Saccharomyces cerevisiae S288C: one gene and its partners. The gene in region 2 interacts genetically with the main gene of each other region. Each region holds a gene or a part of one and is shown on either strand. Other genes may lie near its edges.

Region 1 (8,904 bases), on a different chromosome or scaffold from region 2:
ACAAAACCAGTTATCTCTCTAAAAAACGATTCGAAAAAAATGTCATGAAGTGGGCTTTGGTAGAACTTTCCTGGTTGAAGTTGACAGATCCAAACAATGTAAATGACATTAATCAAGTTGTACAGAATCAGGAACCAAATAAACCCATGGACTGACTCGATTTGCAAAAATCCTGCAACAAGCCCTAGAACAAGTGCTGAGCTATCTTGCACGAAAAGTAAACGCTTCTTATTATCAACCACATTCGCAGTTGCGTTTATCTGAGTAAATACCTCTTCATTTGAGCTCATTTCTATCTGTCTGCCGCTGTCTTTCTCGAACACTGCTTGAGCAATCCAACATAAGGTTAAAATTAAGTTGTATTTAGTTATATCTCTACTAGCTTCATTTGTGATTACCCGGGTTACTAGAAAGCATATAGAAAGAAAAAGAATTGGCGTGACCGTACATATTGCAGCGCATTAAATGTTCTATATCTTCATATATAATAATCAATGTCATTATTTCAAATACCCACCTTTCTCACAAAGACTGTAAAAAATAGACGTTTTATCGGATAACAATTTCGAGGGTGAATCGAATTCCCTCACACTACCCTGGTCAAGAACAATTATCTTATCACTGTCCAATACAGTGTCGATACGATGTGCAATTGTTAAGATGGTACGGTCCTTAAATTCTCTTCTTATAGTGTCTTGGATAATTTTATCGGTTTCCATATCCACAGAAGCCGTTGCTTCATCAAGGACCAATATTTTGGAACGGTTTAGCAGCGCTCTTGCCAAACATAGTAGTTGTCTTTGCCCCACTGACAAGTTACTACCGTTCTCATTAATCTTGACATCCAGAATATCATTAACATTGCCATCCTCTTCATTAGAATCATCACCTCTTGGTTTACTGTGCAGCATTTTTTCCAGATGAGGCTTTAAATGTGCCTGCTCAACAGCCCTTTTAAGTTCATCTTCTGAATAACGATTGAAAGGGTCCAAATTGGTCTTTACTGTACCTTCAAAAGCTTGTGCATCCTGAGGAATAATTGCCAAATGGCTTCTTAAATCGAACAGACCTATGTCGGATATATCAATGCCGTCAATAATAATTTTACCTTCGGTAGGTTCTAGTATTCTAAATAATGCCAGGCTCAGTGTAGACTTCCCTGCACCTGTTCTGCCAACAATCCCAACCTTTTCACATGGCTCAATCTTCACGTTAATATTATTCAGCACTGGATCCAAATTTTCTCTGTATTTTGTGGAATAGTTTTTGAATTCAATACCACCCTTTGATGGCCAATTTTCATCTGGCCTCTTTTCAGGGTTAATGGACTGTGCTTCAGGTGGTAATTCGCAGTACTCAACAATTCTCTCCACTGATACAATGTTGGTTTCAATCGTCACAGTTGTCCTTACAATCCAAGTCAATGAACCTGTAACCTCTAATGAATAGCTCATTAGTAGACCAACCATACCCGAACTTAGTTGCCTTTTAGTATTCATTGTTGCTAGTGCTAAGATTGCAGTAGCCAAAACAATTGTAGCACCAATAGTTTGCAATCTCACGGATAACCATCTATTCGTTGATCTAAAGTTGAAGACAAAATCAACGTTGTATTGGATTTTTTCATAATTTAGATAGATGAATCTCTCAAAATGATCGTATGCATCAATAATAGAATAACCGTTCAAGCTCTCACTCATTAAGGACATAATCGGAGAGTAAGATATACTGATCAATCTTTTTAGCTCCCTAGATAGCACAATGTAAAATGTTTGATAGTAAATATAGATAACCACCAAAAACATATTGAACACTAAAAACCATGGCATATTGTACCCGACTAATATAACAGTAACCAAATAGGTTAGTATTGATTTGAAAAAAAAGGAGAAAATGTACTGTAGATTACTGTCCACTGCATCCATATCAGATGAGAACCTGTTTATGATCCTTCCAACTGGTGTAGTCTCAAAGAAAGTCATAGGACTTCTAATTACAGATTTGGCCATGCTTTCATGCAGTTTCTTAGAACCCCTAATAGAACAATACAGTAGCATCATAATACTCCGTAAATTATTGAATGCGGCCGATGCTACTCCGATTAAGGAATACACACCAACAAACATCCAAACCCTTTCATTTGAACCATTTTTTTCATTAGATTCTGACCAGTACTTTAACCAAAAATTCTCTGCTAAGTCGAAAACCCTTGTTAATATCATAAACAAGAAAAATAAAACAACACCTAAAACTCCACAAGCCTTAATATACGCAAGATAAATCTTTGTTTTGACTCTTCCCACCTCTGTCTTCTCGGCCTTTTGCGCCGTTTTCTTCACGGAATCCAATTGTGCTCCCACAAAGGGTCTAGGTCTTAGCGTAGCTAGAGAAGCTCTTCTAGAATTGGCTTTGATTAGTTCTAATTCACTCTCAGTAACAACCTCATCCTCAGTTTCTGATTCAGTTACTTTAAGCTGCAGAGGTTCATCCACTTCACTTTCGGATCGGTGTTCAGTTTGGACATCGCTTTCATTTCCATTATCAATCGGAGAATCAAATTCCTCTAGTAATTTTTTCAGTTTTGAAGTATTGTTCTTACGGTTCATTACATCCTCATAATTCCCTTGTTCAACAATTTCACCGTTTTCTAGCGCATATATCATCTGCGAATGTTTTAAAATTGATACAGTATTGGTAGTTAAAATAATTGTTTTATTTTTTAATAAAGCCGTCTTTCCGATCAAAACATATTCAATAATATTTTTACTAACTTCTGCATCAACAGCAGATAAAATGTCATCCAACAAATAAATATCTGCTCTCGAGTACACCGCTCTGGCTAATGAAAGACGGGCCTTCTGACCGCCTGATAGGGAAATGCCCTTTTCACCTACCAAAGTTTCATCACCATCTGGTAGTATTTTCAAATCGGGTAGCAATTGACATGCTTTAATAGTGAGGTCATAATAATCTTGGTCGAACTTGTGACCAAATAGAATGTTTTCTCTTACAGATGCGTTCATTATCCAGGATTCTTGTGAACAGTAGGCTACAGACGATGATCTAATGATCAGTTTAGGTGGTATCGAGTCCCTAGAACCACTCATGCAAGGAAGTTGACCAAGAATTGCCTTCAAAAATGTTGATTTACCAGCTCCTACCCGACCAACAACACAAACTAAATCACCCCTTTTTGCTTCAAAATGATCGATATTCTTCAACGCAATTTGAGAAGATCCGATAATAGACTCTTCATCTGTCCTCAAATTATCTCCAGATTGGCTAGATGTTAATACTTCTTTTGATTTCCATAAAAATGTAATATTATTCATCTCTATAGCAGGTAACGCTCTTTCATCCGCTGAAGGATCAATACGTTCGATGAACGAATCATCAATTTCGTCACTAAGTAGGAATGACTTTAATCTTTCCATAGAAACGCTTGTCTCTATAATGGTATTTATCATGGATGGAACGGAATAGATGGCACTGTTCAAAATATTAAATAAAGATAATGAAGGGAAGACAATGGCAGGAGATAACGGAGAATCACTAAATAAAGAAAATAAGCCAAATGTGGAACATGTCACCATTAAAGGTACACAATTCCACGCAAAATATATCAGATTGCTCACTATACCAATTTTCCGAAAATTTTTCAACTCCATATCATTACGAACATGATTCAATCTTGCCATCATAGGTTCCTCCCAGGCGTATAATTTAATAGATTTTATAGCATTCAAAAGCTCTGTAATAGTCTTGATTCTCATGTCCTTATACTTCATTTGAGTTTTTGATAGCTTTTTTACCTTTCTAGATAAGAAGGCATTGATAGGCATCATAATAGCCATAGTAACCAACCCTCCAATAACAGCCTTTCCTAGCAACCAGTACAGGGAAGTTAATACAACAATAATCTGAATAGGAGCGCCAATAATGGTTTGGGCATTTTCGAAAAACCGCTGGATCCTTAACACATCCACAGACATCAAATTTAAGATGTCACCAGTAGATTTTTCGTTACGCTCTGCTAGCGTCAATCTTAAGGACTTCTGATACACTAAAGAAGCTAAAGAGCCTCTTATCCCCAAACCAGCCTCAAAAATTCCAATATAAAATTGATTGGTGAGGAACACAGAAACCACGCTGATTACGAAAAGGGTTAGAGCAATAAATACACCATTTAAAGGAGGATATTTAGAAGATGTTTCCGGGTTCAAACCATCTATGAATATCCGTAGAAACTGGGGCTGTACTACAGAAAGTAAATCAGATGTCGTTTCATACAGCATAGCCACAGAAATAGTCCTACCAAATGACTTCCAAATGGCCCTCCAAAGAGAATTTCTATTCAACCATTTTTCCAATTCCCAGTTAGCCTTAAATTCCTTACTTATCGACTTAATATTCAGATCTACTGGCGGCAATGGTAACTGGTTAGGATCTTTGATTTTCTTGTTACGGTAAGTTTCCACAATCAGTTTGTTCATCCAGATAAATGTAATATAGGATAGTACATGAACGGGGGGATACCACCCATTTTTCTTGTAGTATTCAGATAATTCGTTAATTGGCTCAAAAATGCATAGATCATAAATAAAAATTGCCACAGAATTGAAAAGAAGGAGCACTTCTAAAATCATAGCAGTTTGTCCGCTAATAACAGTAAGCCTTTCGTTACTAGAACCATGATAGTACCTCTGCAATATCAAGAAGAGCTGTAGAAGAATTTGAAACATGTAATAGAAAAGCTGGTTGCCCATTGAAAATGTACTTTTAAAATAAGCTAAGTATTGAGTAGGGAGAGAAATACCCAAATTGAAAAGGAGATTCAAGTACAGAGCCTTCTTTAGTATAAATGGATAAACCCTATCGCTAGATTGGGATACCAAGGCCAGTTCACAAATTATAAGCGTGGACTGAAAGCAAACATTGGTCAAATGCGTTAGATGTCGACTGTTGATTTTACTTGGTAATGTAGGAAAGTTCTTAAATCTGGGTGGTACTTTATTGTTCTTATAAAGTTTCCACAATTGATAGCTACCAATCAATAGGAAAAAGACGGCTTGCCAGGCGGATATTACTGATATAAAACATGGATTTAATGCATTTGTGCCACTATCTGGATATGGTCGGTATCCATAGGGGCACCCATCTACCACTTCTAGTGAAGACATTGTCTTTATATTAATCTTTTTTAGACAAAATTTTCTTTATGATCTCTTTAAAATTAACCACTGCTAATATATGTTCAGAAGAGACCTTGGTATAGAAAAGTATGCGAGGACAATCTGTTGATAGGTTCAGGAGTATGCGATTTTAATTTGGAGAACTGGCTGAATTAACTTATACTCAGGCGCAATTTTTTAAAGGGAATTGGAATTATCGCGATGTCGCTACGGCCAAAAATTTGAGGGCATTTAAATATTATGGTATGCTATAAATAAGCAAATATATAATAAACTAGGCAAACAATACGATCAACATTGTGGGATAGCAGCCGTCGGGCTTGATGACGGACATAGTTTACTATAGTGATCAATAAATAATATAACAGGAGAAAACAAACAAAATAATTAATCCACCGAGAGAAGGAAATCGAACATACGGCGCCGTTACTTAGAAACCTTGGGAGCTTTTTTCTTTGTCTTATGTAATTGAAATTTTGGAAATCTGTCTTTCTTAGTGGATGTTTTTCCTTCATCGGTTTGGTCATCCCTGGATTTTTCTTGTGATTTATTATTCGAATTGGAATTCGGAACGACTTTCTTTCTTGGTTTTGGTTCAATAATTAATGATAATTGGTATTGTTTCTCAATATGGGGGATGTTTTCCAATGAATTTGATATACATTCAATTACCGTCCGATCTTTAGTGAAATCATAATGTGTTTTCTTGAAATATATGATCTCTTGTAAGATATCAACAAGTCTGCTCCTTTTGTTGAAGTTTATATATTTCTTCTCATCATGGACACCCTTTAAACCATGTTCCAAGACAAGATAATCCGGATTTCCGGAATCAGTAAAGGTTAGATCAGATAAATAAACGCCGAAAAACGGTACGCAGGGAGCGCTATGTAAAGATTTCAGCTCGTTTCTGTAATTTATGAAATTTTTCTTGGGATCCATCAACTTGTTCAGTGACTGCAATAGATCTCTCGTTTGAGGAATAACTGCCTGCCAGGTTTTCTCTAAACGATAAATTGGTGAAGAATATAATGCTGAAATGATTGCAGTCATGGAAGAAAAGTTATTGAATTTCCTACAATATTCTGCGATAAAAATAAAATGAGAGAGTAGCTTGGCGCGCTTACTTTTATCAGCCTCCTTTACAACAGAGTAGGATATGAAATTTGTCAGTTTATTGGCAAAACTGATAAACTCGTTCAAACCCGGTGAAGCCCCATACGATTTTGTATACTTGTTCTTCCAAATTTTTTGTAAACAATCAAAAATGGTTATCTCACAATAAATTTCATGCTCTAGTATCGTTAATTGAGTGGCAAATAAAACTGGATCGACGGCCAAAATGGATTCCGTGGTAGAGTATAAAGTGCCCGAGTAATGGTCCTGGCAGATCTGTTGATCTAACGTTTTCATTGGTGCAGTCGCTTCTTGTATATTACCATGTTTAAACTTCTGATTGACCTCCTTTAGTAATTCCACAGATCCTGTTATATTTTCCTTGATTGCTACTTGCGCAAAATAATCCAGATTTAGGGTCGCAAGATCGGGCTCATCATAGCCCAGGAACCAATATTGCTTGAAAAAGGTTGTCATAATCTCAACCACCCTACATTTAACCGGTATAAGCTTTTTCGTCACCCATTCATTGTATTCTTCAAAGCACAAATCCTCTGGTGGATCCAAATTATATTGCGAAATCAAGTAGCTTAAAAACTCCGTTGTAGTAAAGATGCTTCTGAAAGTGATTAAAAAAGTAATATCGAAAAATAGATCCTTCTTTTCATTATCTGTCAAGTAAGAGATCAGTGCGTGTTTAGAACCACCTTTAATCCTATTGTTAGAGCCCCAAATCAGTTCACTGTCATACTCGCGCTGCAAATACCTCGGTAATTTGACTTGGCTGTCACGCCATTCGTCATTGTCTTTAGTATCTGAATCTGCATAAACAGCATTCGTGTCACTTTTTTCGGCAGTTTCACCGCCGTCATAGGACCCATAGCCTTCTTCCCCGCGCAATAGCAATTCCGTGATATTGTTTTTCATCATTCTAGCAGCATAATTTAACAAATTCTCTCTTTCTAGAATTAATTGATTCACGAACTCAATGGCTAGTTTAAGCACATCAAAATAGTCATCACAGGATTTTTTAAAAACGTGGGCGAGATTAAAAAACTTTAAATCATTGAAATCAGAATCTTGATTGATGAGGTTGTGGAAGAGAATAAGACTATCCGGGTCTGGCTCATATTCATCTTCCTCCTCTTGGATATCAGTATTTTGGCTCCCATTCTTCTTATCCTTGGCATTATCTAAATTCAAGGATGAAGGTTTCATTGGTTCATAATAACCGGTAGGCAAGTCGTTTTGCATTGGCGAGAAAACGAAAGGATCCTCTAATGTCAAATGCTGGGCGACAATTATAAATTTCACTACTACATCATGAAAATATTGCTTCATATTAAAATAGTCGGATAAGATATACGATAGGGATGATAAAGAATGTTTCAAAAACTCTTCATCTTCATCATCAATAGCGACATCTTCGTCAAAAACTCTATTCTCATCTCCCAACTCTCTCAAGTTTAGAAAAATAGTTAAATCTAGGTTTTCCAGAATATCAATTATAGGAATTGTTCCGCTTACTTCTTCGTAGGTTTTGAAATTCATTTCAAAATTCAACATTTTTGAAAAATTAGCCGTGTTACTGAGATATTCATTAGCACTTTTGATCATTTGTTTTAGTTTACCATCAAGCTGCTTCTTCCTGGCCCTTACAAGGCTTAGAGTTTCTTCATTTAGCGGGTATGGTTTTTTCCTTTTGGACCATATGGTGTCAGACTCATCGGAACTTCCTGACACATTAGAGAAAATGGTACCTCTTCTCCTTCTTTGAAACGGGGCTGATGGTGAATGGTGAGACGTTTCTGACGAGCATGAAGTGCCCTGTTTGGAAGCTGGAATTTCATCAATATTTTCCGCAACAATTCCTGAAGCACCAGCAACGGCTTTAATCATCTGTCTCGGTAGGTCATGGGACATATGCTGGTTGAGACGCTTACGCAAAAACGGGTTATTCCATGAAATTGTATTGAAAGAATCCTTGAAAAATCGAGGAGTCAATTGAGGCAGTATTGTAAGTTCGTTAGGATTTGAGAGGAAATGTAGTAAACGCAGTAGAAAATGAAATTTTTGGAAGGTTCCTAGGATTGACTGTAGAAGAGGGGATCTTCTTTCTGGATCCTTCTGGGAGGCTATGGCTTCTCTTTCTTCAAACAATGTGGAATGAAACCAAATATTTGCATTTATTGAAAACCTAGACAAGGTGTAAATTAGTTTTTTGAGGGTTTTTTTGAAACTATCTTCAACTAAACGGAGATTCCTGAAAAGCATATAAACATAGGTTATTTGAGCTGTTAATAAATCCAAGGAAGTTAGAAACTTTTCCCGTTCATTTGCCAATAGGTCGCGCTCTGTTAAATTAACATAATGACACACTAAGCGAGTGAGGTCATACCAATAGACGACATCACAATCATTGAGATAGAACAGATCGGGGCTTGACGTTATAGGCATCTTTTTACCAGCTATCTTCGATATTGCAGGAAAAGACGAATAGTCGTTCACGGTTTCAACTTGATTTTGTGGTAAATATGGTAACGTGCGACAATAAACATCTAAATCCTGGTTATAGTACAGCAGCTCACAGCAGCCT
Region 2 (7,727 bases):
TCAGGGCGCTGTCCTTTCAACCGTACTATCTGGCTGCCCGTTATATTATAGAATCGATAAGGATCCAAATATAACGCGAGCTTGTACTGTCCTATTCGAATGCAAGTAATTGTGAATATGGTAATGTAAAAGTGAGAATGTATCCGGCGAGCCCCCCAGCTTTGGCCGTGTGTAATTGTCTTCCCTTTCTACCCAAGATGACTTCTTCTTTATCATTCTTCATTATTCATCTTTTCTTGTCATCTGCCGCCCACCCATTTTAGTTACCCTAACGGAAACATTGATGAATGATGCTATTATTACTGTCATAAGCAATAAAAAGAGAGGTTCCTACTACTTCTCCCGTGGAAAGCTAGCGATAGCCTTGTACTCTATCTCACTTTCAGAATGCGTACACATTTATGTTTAAAGAGGCGTTTTGTGCTAGTTTTGTCTCAACGTGTATTTTATCGGTTGTAATTGTACTGACAATTTTCGGGCCTCGTTTGGCTGTCGCACTGAAATCTTCGACAGGGTATCGAAGAACGATACAACGATATGCCTATAAAGGTTAGTTAGCCATGATATTACTTCCTGGTTAGCTGGTGCGCTTCTTAGTCCTAACTTGCAAATTTATATCTACGTATAGAAAACTGTCAATATGTCATTACCGTTCTTAACTTCTGCACCGGGAAAGGTTATTATTTTTGGTGAACACTCTGCTGTGTACAACAAGCCTGCCGTCGCTGCTAGTGTGTCTGCGTTGAGAACCTACCTGCTAATAAGCGAGTCATCTGCACCAGATACTATTGAATTGGACTTCCCGGACATTAGCTTTAATCATAAGTGGTCCATCAATGATTTCAATGCCATCACCGAGGATCAAGTAAACTCCCAAAAATTGGCCAAGGCTCAACAAGCCACCGATGGCTTGTCTCAGGAACTCGTTAGTCTTTTGGATCCGTTGTTAGCTCAACTATCCGAATCCTTCCACTACCATGCAGCGTTTTGTTTCCTGTATATGTTTGTTTGCCTATGCCCCCATGCCAAGAATATTAAGTTTTCTTTAAAGTCTACTTTACCCATCGGTGCTGGGTTGGGCTCAAGCGCCTCTATTTCTGTATCACTGGCCTTAGCTATGGCCTACTTGGGGGGGTTAATAGGATCTAATGACTTGGAAAAGCTGTCAGAAAACGATAAGCATATAGTGAATCAATGGGCCTTCATAGGTGAAAAGTGTATTCACGGTACCCCTTCAGGAATAGATAACGCTGTGGCCACTTATGGTAATGCCCTGCTATTTGAAAAAGACTCACATAATGGAACAATAAACACAAACAATTTTAAGTTCTTAGATGATTTCCCAGCCATTCCAATGATCCTAACCTATACTAGAATTCCAAGGTCTACAAAAGATCTTGTTGCTCGCGTTCGTGTGTTGGTCACCGAGAAATTTCCTGAAGTTATGAAGCCAATTCTAGATGCCATGGGTGAATGTGCCCTACAAGGCTTAGAGATCATGACTAAGTTAAGTAAATGTAAAGGCACCGATGACGAGGCTGTAGAAACTAATAATGAACTGTATGAACAACTATTGGAATTGATAAGAATAAATCATGGACTGCTTGTCTCAATCGGTGTTTCTCATCCTGGATTAGAACTTATTAAAAATCTGAGCGATGATTTGAGAATTGGCTCCACAAAACTTACCGGTGCTGGTGGCGGCGGTTGCTCTTTGACTTTGTTACGAAGAGACATTACTCAAGAGCAAATTGACAGCTTCAAAAAGAAATTGCAAGATGATTTTAGTTACGAGACATTTGAAACAGACTTGGGTGGGACTGGCTGCTGTTTGTTAAGCGCAAAAAATTTGAATAAAGATCTTAAAATCAAATCCCTAGTATTCCAATTATTTGAAAATAAAACTACCACAAAGCAACAAATTGACGATCTATTATTGCCAGGAAACACGAATTTACCATGGACTTCATAAGCTAATTTGCGATAGGCATTATTTATTAGTTGTTTTTAATCTTAACTGTGTATGAAGTTTTATGTAATAAAGATAGAAAGAGAAACAAAAAAAAATTTTTCGTAGTATCAATTCAGCTTTCGAAGACAGAATGAAATTTAAGCAGACCATAGTATCCTTGATACATTGACTCATAATCAGTTAAATAGCCATTCAATCCCTTTGAGCTATCAACTTCATATTCCTCCACAAGGTCCTTCCACCCGCGAATTTTACGCAGCCGACTTAATTCATCTCCTGTAAATTGGACCAAGGGTTTGGTGCCATACTTTAATGGACCTACATTGACCCAATGCAGCTCTTTACAGTATTTCTTTAGTGCTTCAATACTGGATAGATATTCAAACATATTTTCCGCGGTATCTATGAAATATGCGCTACAAATGATAATTTTATCATAGTCTTTGGAAATGGGAGAATATCGTGTGAAGTCCCCCCATAGTGGGTCCAGATTACTGCGGTGGCCAACTTTGCTCAAATCTGCCGATAAACTTCTCAACTGATTATCAAACACTGTCTGGCATGAATATTGTTGTACAAAAGGACGTATCTTAACGTCATGCTTATATTCGAGTGCAAATAGGTTACATATGTACATCAAGGCTGATAATTCGATGGAGTCCACCTGTATTTTGGGGAAAGTGGTGGCAAGAGTATGGGATAGGCCACCCACACCAGCCCCTGGGGTCACGATAAGAATTTTCTCTTTCATGTCCCCGGCACTAATCACATGATGGTTGATTCTACTAATGATAAAATTTTGTAAAGGATCTCTTTCCACACTATAGTAAGAGCTGAAATCACGACACAAATGTGCTAATGCTTCATGGACCACACTTTGGCTGCCTCGAGACGAAACTATTGGAAATACGAAGTCAGGATTCAATTGAATAAGGTGACCATCTTTAATCTTATAGCCGTGTTCCGCGCATATCTTTTCAATTTCCTCTGTAAATTCTTCATCGTGTTCGTTGGAATGAATCAATTTCCCTAAAGTGAACTCAATTATCTTGTCAATAACTCTTGCGTTTTCTCGGATACCCTCATTATTTTTCATTAATTTGGTGAAGTAGCCTAATTTTTGCAACTGATCTTCTGAAATTCCATTTAATTGTCTTGCTCTCCGAAATAAAAGGCCATTATAGCCTTCTCCTCTTGCTCGATACTCATGTAAACGGATTAAATTCCCCGTAAGATCAGGAAGAGTGGGAATCTGATAATTAATTTTAGAAAGATTCGATTGATCGGCAGATATTGATTTCTCAACATCAACCAATTTTAAGGAGGGCGATAAAACGCTGACTTTTTGGGCCAGATTTGATTTTCTTGATAATAGCTTTTCAACATATGATACAAACCACCTCTGCAACGGCTTATTTTGCCTTAGCAGTGTCATCAGGACTACCACAAGGGCTAGAATTATATTTGATGCCAGTGAGCTAACCATTGGCGCTCCTCAACTTCGTATATCAATATTTTTACCTCTTCTATTTCCTGAAAAATTTGTTAATTGTACAGCATCGTTTACGTTTTTTTTTTTTTACGGGTCTTCTTACCTAACCCCGAAAAGTATTGTGGATCTTAAAAGGGTCTCAATTATTTGAAGTTCGATAAAAACCAACTACTTTGTTATTTTAAAACTGTATTATACAAACGCTGGTAAACTTCCAGAGACGATATGCGTCTAAAAGAATTGTTACCTAATTTTTTGATTGTTCATCAAGAGGTCCCTGAGGATCCTATTGCATTCAAGTCCACCGATAAACGAGAGAATGAAAATAAAGAGATCACCATCCCTGAGCTAATAGATACTAAAGTTCCTGAATTAGCTGACGGTGCTACTGACACTTTATATGGTTTACTGGTCAATGGCCATTTACAAACTGCATATGGTTCCTTTAGACACTTTGACAATATATACAAAGTTCAATATAAAAGAATGATAATCAAATACCCACATGGGGGAGAAGGGACTGTGGATTTTGCTGTAAATGGTAGAAGTACCAAAAGAAGAAAAGTGGAAAAAGAATACGTGCCGACAAGTCAACCGGTATTTAACGGAAACTTGAAACGAAGATATTCGTACTATTCCCCTGATGATCCTAAATTGAACTCAGACGATGCTAAGCCTATGCTTATTATTCTCCATGGATTAACAGGGGGTTCGAGGGAAAGCTACGTGAGGGCAATTGTTCATGAAATCACCACGAAGTATGACTTTGAAGCATGCGTGTTTAATGCTAGAGGATGTTGTTATTCTGCAATTACAACGCCGCTATTATACAACGGTGGTTGGACCAATGATATAAGATATTGTGTTAATGACTTGAGGAAAAGATTTCCGAATAGAAAGTTTTATATGATGGGATTTTCGTTAGGCGCATCTATAATGACAAATTACTTGGGAGAAGAGTCAGATCGTACTAAAATCGAATGTGCTATTTCCGTGAGTAATCCATTTGACCTGTACAACTCTGCATATTTTATTAACAGTACACCAATGGGGTCACGATTTTATTCACCTGCTTTGGGTCACAACTTACTACGCATGGTTCGAAACCATCTCTCTACTCTGGAAGAAAACCCTGATTTCAAAGATGTTATCGAGAAGCATTTAAAAAAGATTCGCACTGTGAGGCAATTTGATAACTTGTTGACAGGCCCAATGTTTGGATATAAAAATGCAGAGGAGTATTACAAGAATGCTTCATCATATAAAAGAATACCCGGGATCAGAACTCCTTTTATAGCTTTGCATGCTCAGGATGACCCAATTGTCGGAGGTGATCTTCCTATAGACCAAATAAAATCCAATCCATACACTTTGCTTCTAGAAACTTCGACGGGGGGGCATGTTGGATGGTTCAAAGACAGATCCGGCAGAAGGTGGTACGCAGAACCCTTATGCAGATTTTTGAAAATATTTCACGACGAAATTACTGTAAAGGGCTTAAAACCTGACTTGGAAAATGTTCAACTCCCAGATCCTAATTGCGAACCCATAGCCACAACCTTTCGCGCGAATTAGTTTGTAAATAAGTCAACTTTTTAGATGTGTAACCTGATAATTTTTTTTTTTGATGTTCGACATCATTATTTCTGAATGAAAACGTGAAAAGCTTCGCCAAACTTAAAATGGAAAATTTCGAATGGAACAAAATATAATCGATGCGATGAATTAAAACCTTGGAAGAAGAGGGTTAATTGTTAAAATTACATATATAATTGGCAGACAAGAATAAAAAATGCATGAAGTAGTAACGATATCGGTTTCGCAGAGAGCAAACCATTTGACTACTCAATTCTTCAATATACAAGAGGGCTATTTACAATTGTCTAAAGAACAACAAGTCAATGACTCCAAAATTTTTCTGAATTCGGTTGTAGATAAAGTTTCAAAAACAATTTCATATGCACCACGTGCCTTACTTTGGGATGCCCGTACAGGTAATGGTTCACTAGGAACATATCAATATTCAGAAAGCCAAGACTATCATTTCGGCAATGAAGACAAATTCAAGGAGCAAACAGTTATAAAGACTCATCCAAGAATACCTAAATCCGAATATCAGAGTTCTCTAGATGCAGGAGCACCGCTGCCTTGTTTGAACAGAGAAAATACGATGTATTGGTCTGACTATTCTAAACTTATCTATGGTCCTTCAAGTTTCAATATTTTGAGAAATTGGTACCATGACACTGAAAATCCAAACCAACCTGACTTTCAAAACTTGGGGGAGCGAAAGTTTGACAGGTATTCCATTGGTTATGACGAATTTACCGAAAATTACTTGCAAGAGTTTTTTGATGGAAATTTGCATAGAGAATTGGAAAAATGTGACACCCTGCAAGGCTTCAATCTTGTAAGTGATATGGAGAGTGGATGGGGCGGGTTTTCTAGTGCTCTACTGGTGGAATTAAGGAATGAATTACCTAAAAAGGCGGTCTTTTCATGGGGACACAATGAAGATGATCCATTCACAGATGACTTCCCTATGAAAAGACTTTCAAAGAAATGGCTCCCGATCATTTCGAACAAATTAAGAAGCACAATAAATATGATGCAAGAATCCGATCTTTACTTCCCATTGTATGCTGCTCCTGGACTAACTAATTGGGAAACTGCTGGAAAGAGCTGTAGGATATTTGATTCTATAAATGCGACAATTTCCCAAAGCAATCTTGAACAAAGAAAGACAATGGATTATCTAACAACTGCCATTACCTTAGGATATTCGTCGCGAAATATGGTCACTGGCATGGTTATCGGTGACACCGATTACTCATTCTGTTCTCGAGTACTTCCTTTCAAGAATAGCCACAAACCAAATTCTACTCACATATTTTCAAAAAGTTTCATTGATAGAGGAAATCAAACGCATAAACATCATTCCGAACCTGATTCACGGAGTAAGATGATTGAAATGTATACACACAGGTATTTTCCATCTGATACGATACCGACAGAATTTTCCAATGATCGTGAATTTGTTTTGGAATTAGAATCATCTGAAAAAAATCGAGATATATTCAAACATTGGAATGAGTTTGTGGTAAGGTACTTCAAAAATGATAGTGACAGAGAAGAATTGAAAAATGAACTTTCCGATTACGCCTCAGCGTACGAATCTGGGTGGTATGAAGACGAAGATTCTGGTGATGACGATATGTGATAAGCAGTTTGCAGCTACGTATTTCCTTTCTCCAGTTGAGGCAAACAGGACTTCTTCCATCTTTTTCGAAGTTTTTACTTCGCCATTTGATCTATATCTACGTAAATTACATTAATTAGAAAGTCATGCTATATCACTCTTGCCCTTGAAAGCATCCACAGCTGTCCGTCAAAAACTTAATTTCTCAAGTGGAGGAGAAAATTTTACCTCTTGAACTTAAAGAATGTAAATCTTCATTTGCGTCTTTAAAGTCATCGTTTTGATTTTCACCAGTTGCTGTTTTTTGCAAAAAGGATTTTCTATTTCCAATGCTACTGCGATCAGAAAGACTAGATATTGGTGCAAGTCGCAGAGAATTTGATCTAGCAACGTCGATTTTATCCAAGCCAACAATATTCTCCTCATCAGGATCTTTGATTTTATTCGCGTCATCTGAAAAAGTTTTCAATTCATTTAATAAAAATGTGATATTAGTGACACGAGATTTCACTGATTGAGAACCCCGAAAAGAGCCATCTCTTTTCATATTATTTGGAATATTCTTTTCATTCATAGTTTTTTTCAAATCGCTAACTTTTGGTGCGGTGGCTCTCATTGTTTTCCATGATCTTGCGTCCTCAGCAACAAACCTATAGATACTACCTTTTGCATTAGCATCAGAAATTACAGTATCGTTAGCTTCTTCTATATTGTCATCTATGCTGTTGTCGAATTTATTTTGCTTGGCCGCAAAATCGTTGTTATCATACACTGCTTTCCCATTTGAAAAAATAGCATTAGGGACATTCTTGTACTCCAGAGGTGTAGTACGAACTTGAGAGTCCGACAGTAAATCAGAAGTAGAAATTTGATTATCACGAGACAATAAAATCTGCGCCCCCTTCTTGCTGTATTTATTTGATCCAGTATCAGAATAGTATGACAATAAATCTTCCTTGGTAAACAAAGTTCTAGTTTGCATTTTGTACTCAGTTTGTGACTTGTAGTCATTGAGTTTTAAAAAGTTAGCTGCTTGTAAATGGTACGAATAATAGGTATACTCA
Region 3 (5,180 bases), on a different chromosome or scaffold from region 2:
GTTTCCGAGATAGAAAGTGCGGTAGTAGAGAAGAACAATAAACGTATCAAACTTTGCGCAGTCATGGAATTTCCAGGAAACATTTTTAGGTTTTCATATGACAGCAGTTCCTGTCCGAGAGCTGTGCCTTTCTTGTCTCAGCTGACTAAGATGTCTCGGATCCGCCCGGCTGGCGCGCGGCTCCGTCTAGTGGGATAGGCTTTCAACACATAGGAAACCCTTCAGATGATGAGAACACATCGAATCCCAGAGAGTAATATCACCAAGAATAAAGCAACCATGATAGACAATATTACTAAGTGTTCCTCAACAGATATTGAGAAAAGTTCTTATAAAGCGGGCAGGCTTTTTTCTATTTTTTTCTTTTTCTTTATCTAGCTTAAGATCCTTCTAACCATATTCTATAAAATGGCAAGCTGAATACAGATTATCAACGACAATTACATATAACCTACAAACAGGCAAGTTGCAATTCCAGAAACCATGAAGGCTGTCGTCATTGAAGACGGTAAAGCGGTTGTCAAAGAGGGCGTTCCCATTCCTGAATTGGAAGAAGGATTCGTATTGATTAAGACACTCGCTGTTGCTGGTAACCCGACTGATTGGGCACACATTGACTACAAGGTCGGGCCTCAAGGATCTATTCTGGGATGTGACGCTGCCGGCCAAATTGTCAAATTGGGCCCAGCCGTCGATCCTAAAGACTTTTCTATTGGTGATTATATTTATGGGTTCATTCACGGATCTTCCGTAAGGTTTCCTTCCAATGGTGCTTTTGCTGAATATTCTGCTATTTCAACTGTGGTTGCCTACAAATCACCCAATGAACTCAAATTTTTGGGTGAAGATGTTCTACCTGCCGGCCCTGTCAGGTCTTTGGAAGGGGCAGCCACTATCCCAGTGTCACTGACCACAGCTGGCTTGGTGTTGACCTATAACTTGGGCTTGAACCTGAAGTGGGAGCCATCAACCCCACAAAGAAACGGCCCCATCTTATTATGGGGCGGTGCAACTGCAGTAGGTCAGTCGCTCATCCAATTAGCCAATAAATTGAATGGCTTCACCAAGATCATTGTTGTGGCTTCTCGGAAACACGAAAAACTGTTGAAAGAATATGGTGCTGATCAACTATTTGATTACCATGATATTGACGTGGTAGAACAAATTAAACACAAGTACAACAATATCTCGTATTTAGTCGACTGTGTCGCGAATCAAAATACGCTTCAACAAGTGTACAAATGTGCGGCCGATAAACAGGATGCTACCGTTGTCGAATTAACTAATTTGACAGAAGAAAACGTCAAAAAGGAGAATAGGAGGCAAAATGTCACTATTGACAGAACAAGACTGTATTCAATAGGCGGCCATGAAGTACCATTTGGTGGCATTACTTTCCCTGCTGACCCAGAAGCCAGGAGAGCTGCCACCGAATTCGTCAAGTTCATCAATCCAAAGATTAGTGATGGGCAAATTCACCATATTCCAGCAAGGGTCTATAAGAACGGGCTTTACGATGTTCCTCGTATCCTGGAAGACATTAAAATCGGTAAGAACTCTGGTGAAAAACTAGTTGCCGTATTAAACTAGATGACGAACAGATATTATTTTTCTTTTGTATACACAGTTATTACGTATGTTAGAGTGACTTGGTTTTTTTTTTTTTAATGAAATTGTTTGTTATTGATCACGCCTTGTAGGGGAAACAGATGAGAACAGTGAAAATCATAACTCATTATGTGATTTGTTGTGCGTCACCCTTCCATGATTATATATCCTTACTATCTACTATCCAACTACTACATATCTATTGAACTCATATGTACCAAGCACATAAAATTATGCACCTATTTCCATTGGCAAAGACTTGGCGAAATTTAATACACTGTAATAATATCCGGCGAAGCTCTTTAAGAATTCTTACCTATAATAGCGGCTCGCTGTCCGAACGATTGCGCCGCACTTTTCTGCCTCTTACATTCCCTTTTCCTAAGGCGATAAGCAGGCTGAATGGAAACTACGATATAACGCAGTAGAGGTCCCCCAAGAGCTGGAAAGAAAATATTGGTTTGATAGCCAGCACTATTCTATCCAGTGGGCTCTTGTACCATTTTCTGTGGTATGGCTTTGATTCAACTGCATACGTAGTTAACGCGATCAGCCGCACATGGGCATTATCATTTTCAGGGGTACTGGTAAACCCTATTGTTTAGAAAGAATACCTGGTAAGCGGGTCTGTCGAGTCTTTCCCACTAATTTTGAAGAAAAAATCTTTACCTAGTTTGAGAATAATCGTGGCGTTCGTAACATCACGAGGTGAGAGAGACCAGTTAGGTAAGGGTATGCCAATAAAAGGTTATTGATACTTCAACGAATCTTCATATTAAAAGTGCCTTCACCAGAATAAAATTCTAACGTCATCCTAAAAAGCATCAATTGGACATAGTGAGGGAAAGTTTTCACCATTTAAAATCTATTCTGCAGAATACCATTCTAGACTATGATCCCTTAAAGATTCCCATTCTTTAAATATACAAATCAGGTTCAACAGCGTATCTTTATGGTATTATCGTACTACTGGCGACATTAGCAAATCCAAGTATCCTAACTAGGTTTCTAGTCTTATCTCTTGGTTTTCTCCATTAGATGGTAAACACGTTACCTTGATGGCTGTACAGGAAGTGAACATGGTCAACTCAAAGTCACCGGACTCAAAATAATTGCAATTACCTAGACTGGATATTTTTAGAATATTATGAGAATATTTTTAGAATACTTGCAACCCAAAATATATTTAAATGCCGCCAATTTGCAACCAAAAGATTATCCGCTACCTTTTTTTTAGTCATTGAATTGTAGCATAAAGTTCCGAGCTTTGAAAAAAAACTTTGAACTAAGAAAAGGTAAGAGATCCTCAATTATGATATTACTTCATGCCATATATACTCTTTGGGTAATTATACTACTTCCGCTACTCAATGCAGAGAAATTTGTCCCAAAAGTAACGGAGGCTCCTATAGAAACATCATTTAATCTAGTGAGTTTTGATGATTCCAACACTTCTATCAGATTAGATGGTTGGGGGGTTGTATGGATAAGTTTCGACGCTGGAGAAAATTGGGAAACGGTCAAAGAAATTGAAGAGCGCATTTTCAGATTTACTGTTGATCCTTTCCATGGACAGGAAAGAGGTTTCGCTTTTATATGTGAATCACCCAAATTCTACATTACCGACGACCGTGGGGAGTCATGGAGGGCTTTAACTATACCCTCATCAGAAGAATATTTAGATGGCGACTGTTTTATAACTACTCATCCTAGAAACAAAGAACTTCTTATTGCGAATTGCTATAGCTATATGATAGACGCAGACGTTTTATATGACCCAAGTGAAATTTACTTGAGCAATGATGGGAATCCTTTTTTAAAATTAAACCTTCCTTGGAAAAGAAAAAAGACGACGATATAACAACTTAAAGCTGTCATTTCATTAAGTCTAGCAAGGATTCTGACTTTACTGGTAATGATACTTCGATACTCTGTTTGTTCTCTAACCGTGAATACGATGAAGAATATCGCTTAACTGCTACCTACACACAGTTGGCTTTCAGTAGTGATGGAGGCAAAACGTTTAAAGATTTTGATGAATTTAAAGATAAGATTGTTACTCAATACAAGATATTGAAGTCATATGTGGTCGTTTTAACGCAAGATGACGGGCATAACGAGATGTCATCTACGGACATCTGGATATCCAATGATGCATCTACTTTTCAAAAGGCACAGCTGCCTACTCAATTACGGCACGTCAAAGTGATTAAAATTCGTGAAGATTCTATCGGAAGGATCATCCTTCTTATATCGACAGAAATCACAAATGAGGAAAATGCTGATCCAGATCTCTCAGAGATTTTCATATCAGATTCGCAAGGGTTGAAATTCTCACCTGTTGAATGGACACCAAACCATCAGTTTGGAAATTTTAGGCTCACTTTTCCTGATTTCTTGAAAGGGACAATATTTGGATCGTTTCATCCTTCCATTGACTATTCTAATCACCAAGTAAACTATACTGAAAATATAGCCGGAGGAGAAACCAAAATATCCGTTGATAACGGCCTCACATGGTCAAATTTGAAAGTTGTTGATGAAGAAAATGCCGATTCGTTCGGCTGTGATATCACTAGGCCTGAGAGATGTTCACTTCAGGGTTATTTTTACAATCTAAAACTTTCAAATCCTTCTGCTGGGATCATATTAATGACAGGTTCTGTTGGCGATGACAATGAATTCGATCGGAAGGACCGAAAAACTTTCATTTCTAGAGACGGTGGTCTAACATGGAGGGTGGCCCATAATTCTTCTGGATTATATGCTACTGGTGATCTGGGAAATATTATTGTATATATCCCGTCTCCTTCATATAAAGATGGTGATGTACAATCCAAACTTTATTTTTCCTTGGACCAAGGTAGAACATGGAATCAATATGAGCTTGTTGACGCTTTATTTTATATCCATCCATTAGAGTTGATTAATACAACGCCAGATGGATCAGGCTCAAAATTTATTTTAAGCGGACATCTCATTACTACGGCTAGTCAAGAAGGAAACAACACCAACATCTCATATATTGCAAGAAGTGTCCTGTATGCGATCGATTTTTCTGCTGCATTTTGACTATAAAACGTGTGAAGAGGAAGATTTCGAAGACTGGAATTTGGCAGATGGGAAATGCCTTAATGGCGCCAAATACATGTATAAAAGGAGGAAACAGGACGCCCGTTGTTTGGTAAAAAGGACATTCAAAGATATGATTTTGCATGAAATACCTTGTGACAGTTGTACTGAATCCGACTACGAATGCTCTTCTGAATTTGTTAGAGATGCAAAGGGTGACTGTATACCAGATTATGATCAGATTGCCCTTTCCGATATATGTGACAAAGCTAATGGCGAAACTGTATCATTAGAGCCATTACAATTAATTAAAGGAGATAAATGCAAAAAGCCCATGGAAATTGAGGCCATGAACATTCCATGTGAAAAAATCCTGAGGGAGAGCTCGAATGGTAAGAAAATAGCAACCATTGAAAACAAGTTTGACTTTGAAATTTAATTTTATCAATATTTCGATACAGTTTTGGGTGAATCTTTTATCATGCTTAAGTCAATAGAAG

The links. A genetic interaction does not mean that the proteins touch.
Region 1: mutations in MGL2 (region 2) and BPT1 together harm fitness more than expected from each alone (negative genetic interaction), as found in Saccharomyces cerevisiae (2 studies listed by BioGRID).
Region 3: mutations in MGL2 (region 2) and EMA35 together harm fitness more than expected from each alone (negative genetic interaction), as found in Saccharomyces cerevisiae (2 studies listed by BioGRID).

What each region holds. Positions count from the first base shown.
Region 1 is NC_001144.5:112,708-121,611, reverse strand, and holds BPT1 (ATP-binding cassette bilirubin transporter BPT1), read right to left. Parts: upstream 5,181-8,904; coding exon 501-5,180; downstream 1-500. Other genes in the region: EMC6 (Emc6p), read right to left, coding at 1-290. UniProt on the Saccharomyces cerevisiae protein: Cooperates for the ATP-dependent vacuolar transport of bilirubin and glutathione conjugates.
Region 2 is NC_001145.3:683,827-691,553, forward strand, and holds MGL2 (putative carboxylic ester hydrolase), read left to right. Parts: upstream 1-3,689; coding exon 3,690-5,039; downstream 5,040-7,727. Other genes in the region: ERG12 (mevalonate kinase), read left to right, coding at 641-1,972; YMR209C (uncharacterized protein), read right to left, coding at 2,085-3,458; DML1 (Dml1p), read left to right, coding at 5,257-6,684; EFR3 (Efr3p), read right to left, coding at 6,869-7,727. UniProt on the Saccharomyces cerevisiae protein: Converts monoacylglycerides (MAG) to free fatty acids and glycerol. Has a preference for palmitoyl-MAG. Does not play a significant role in ethyl ester biosynthesis. Also possesses ester hydrolase and low but persistent TAG lipase activity.
Region 3 is NC_001135.5:300,771-305,950, reverse strand, and holds EMA35 (Ema35p), read left to right. Parts: upstream 1-3,729; coding exon 3,730-4,680; downstream 4,681-5,180. Other genes in the region: YCR102C (uncharacterized protein), read left to right, coding at 484-1,590; YCR101C (uncharacterized protein), read left to right, coding at 2,921-3,469; YCR099C (uncharacterized protein), read left to right, coding at 4,652-5,119.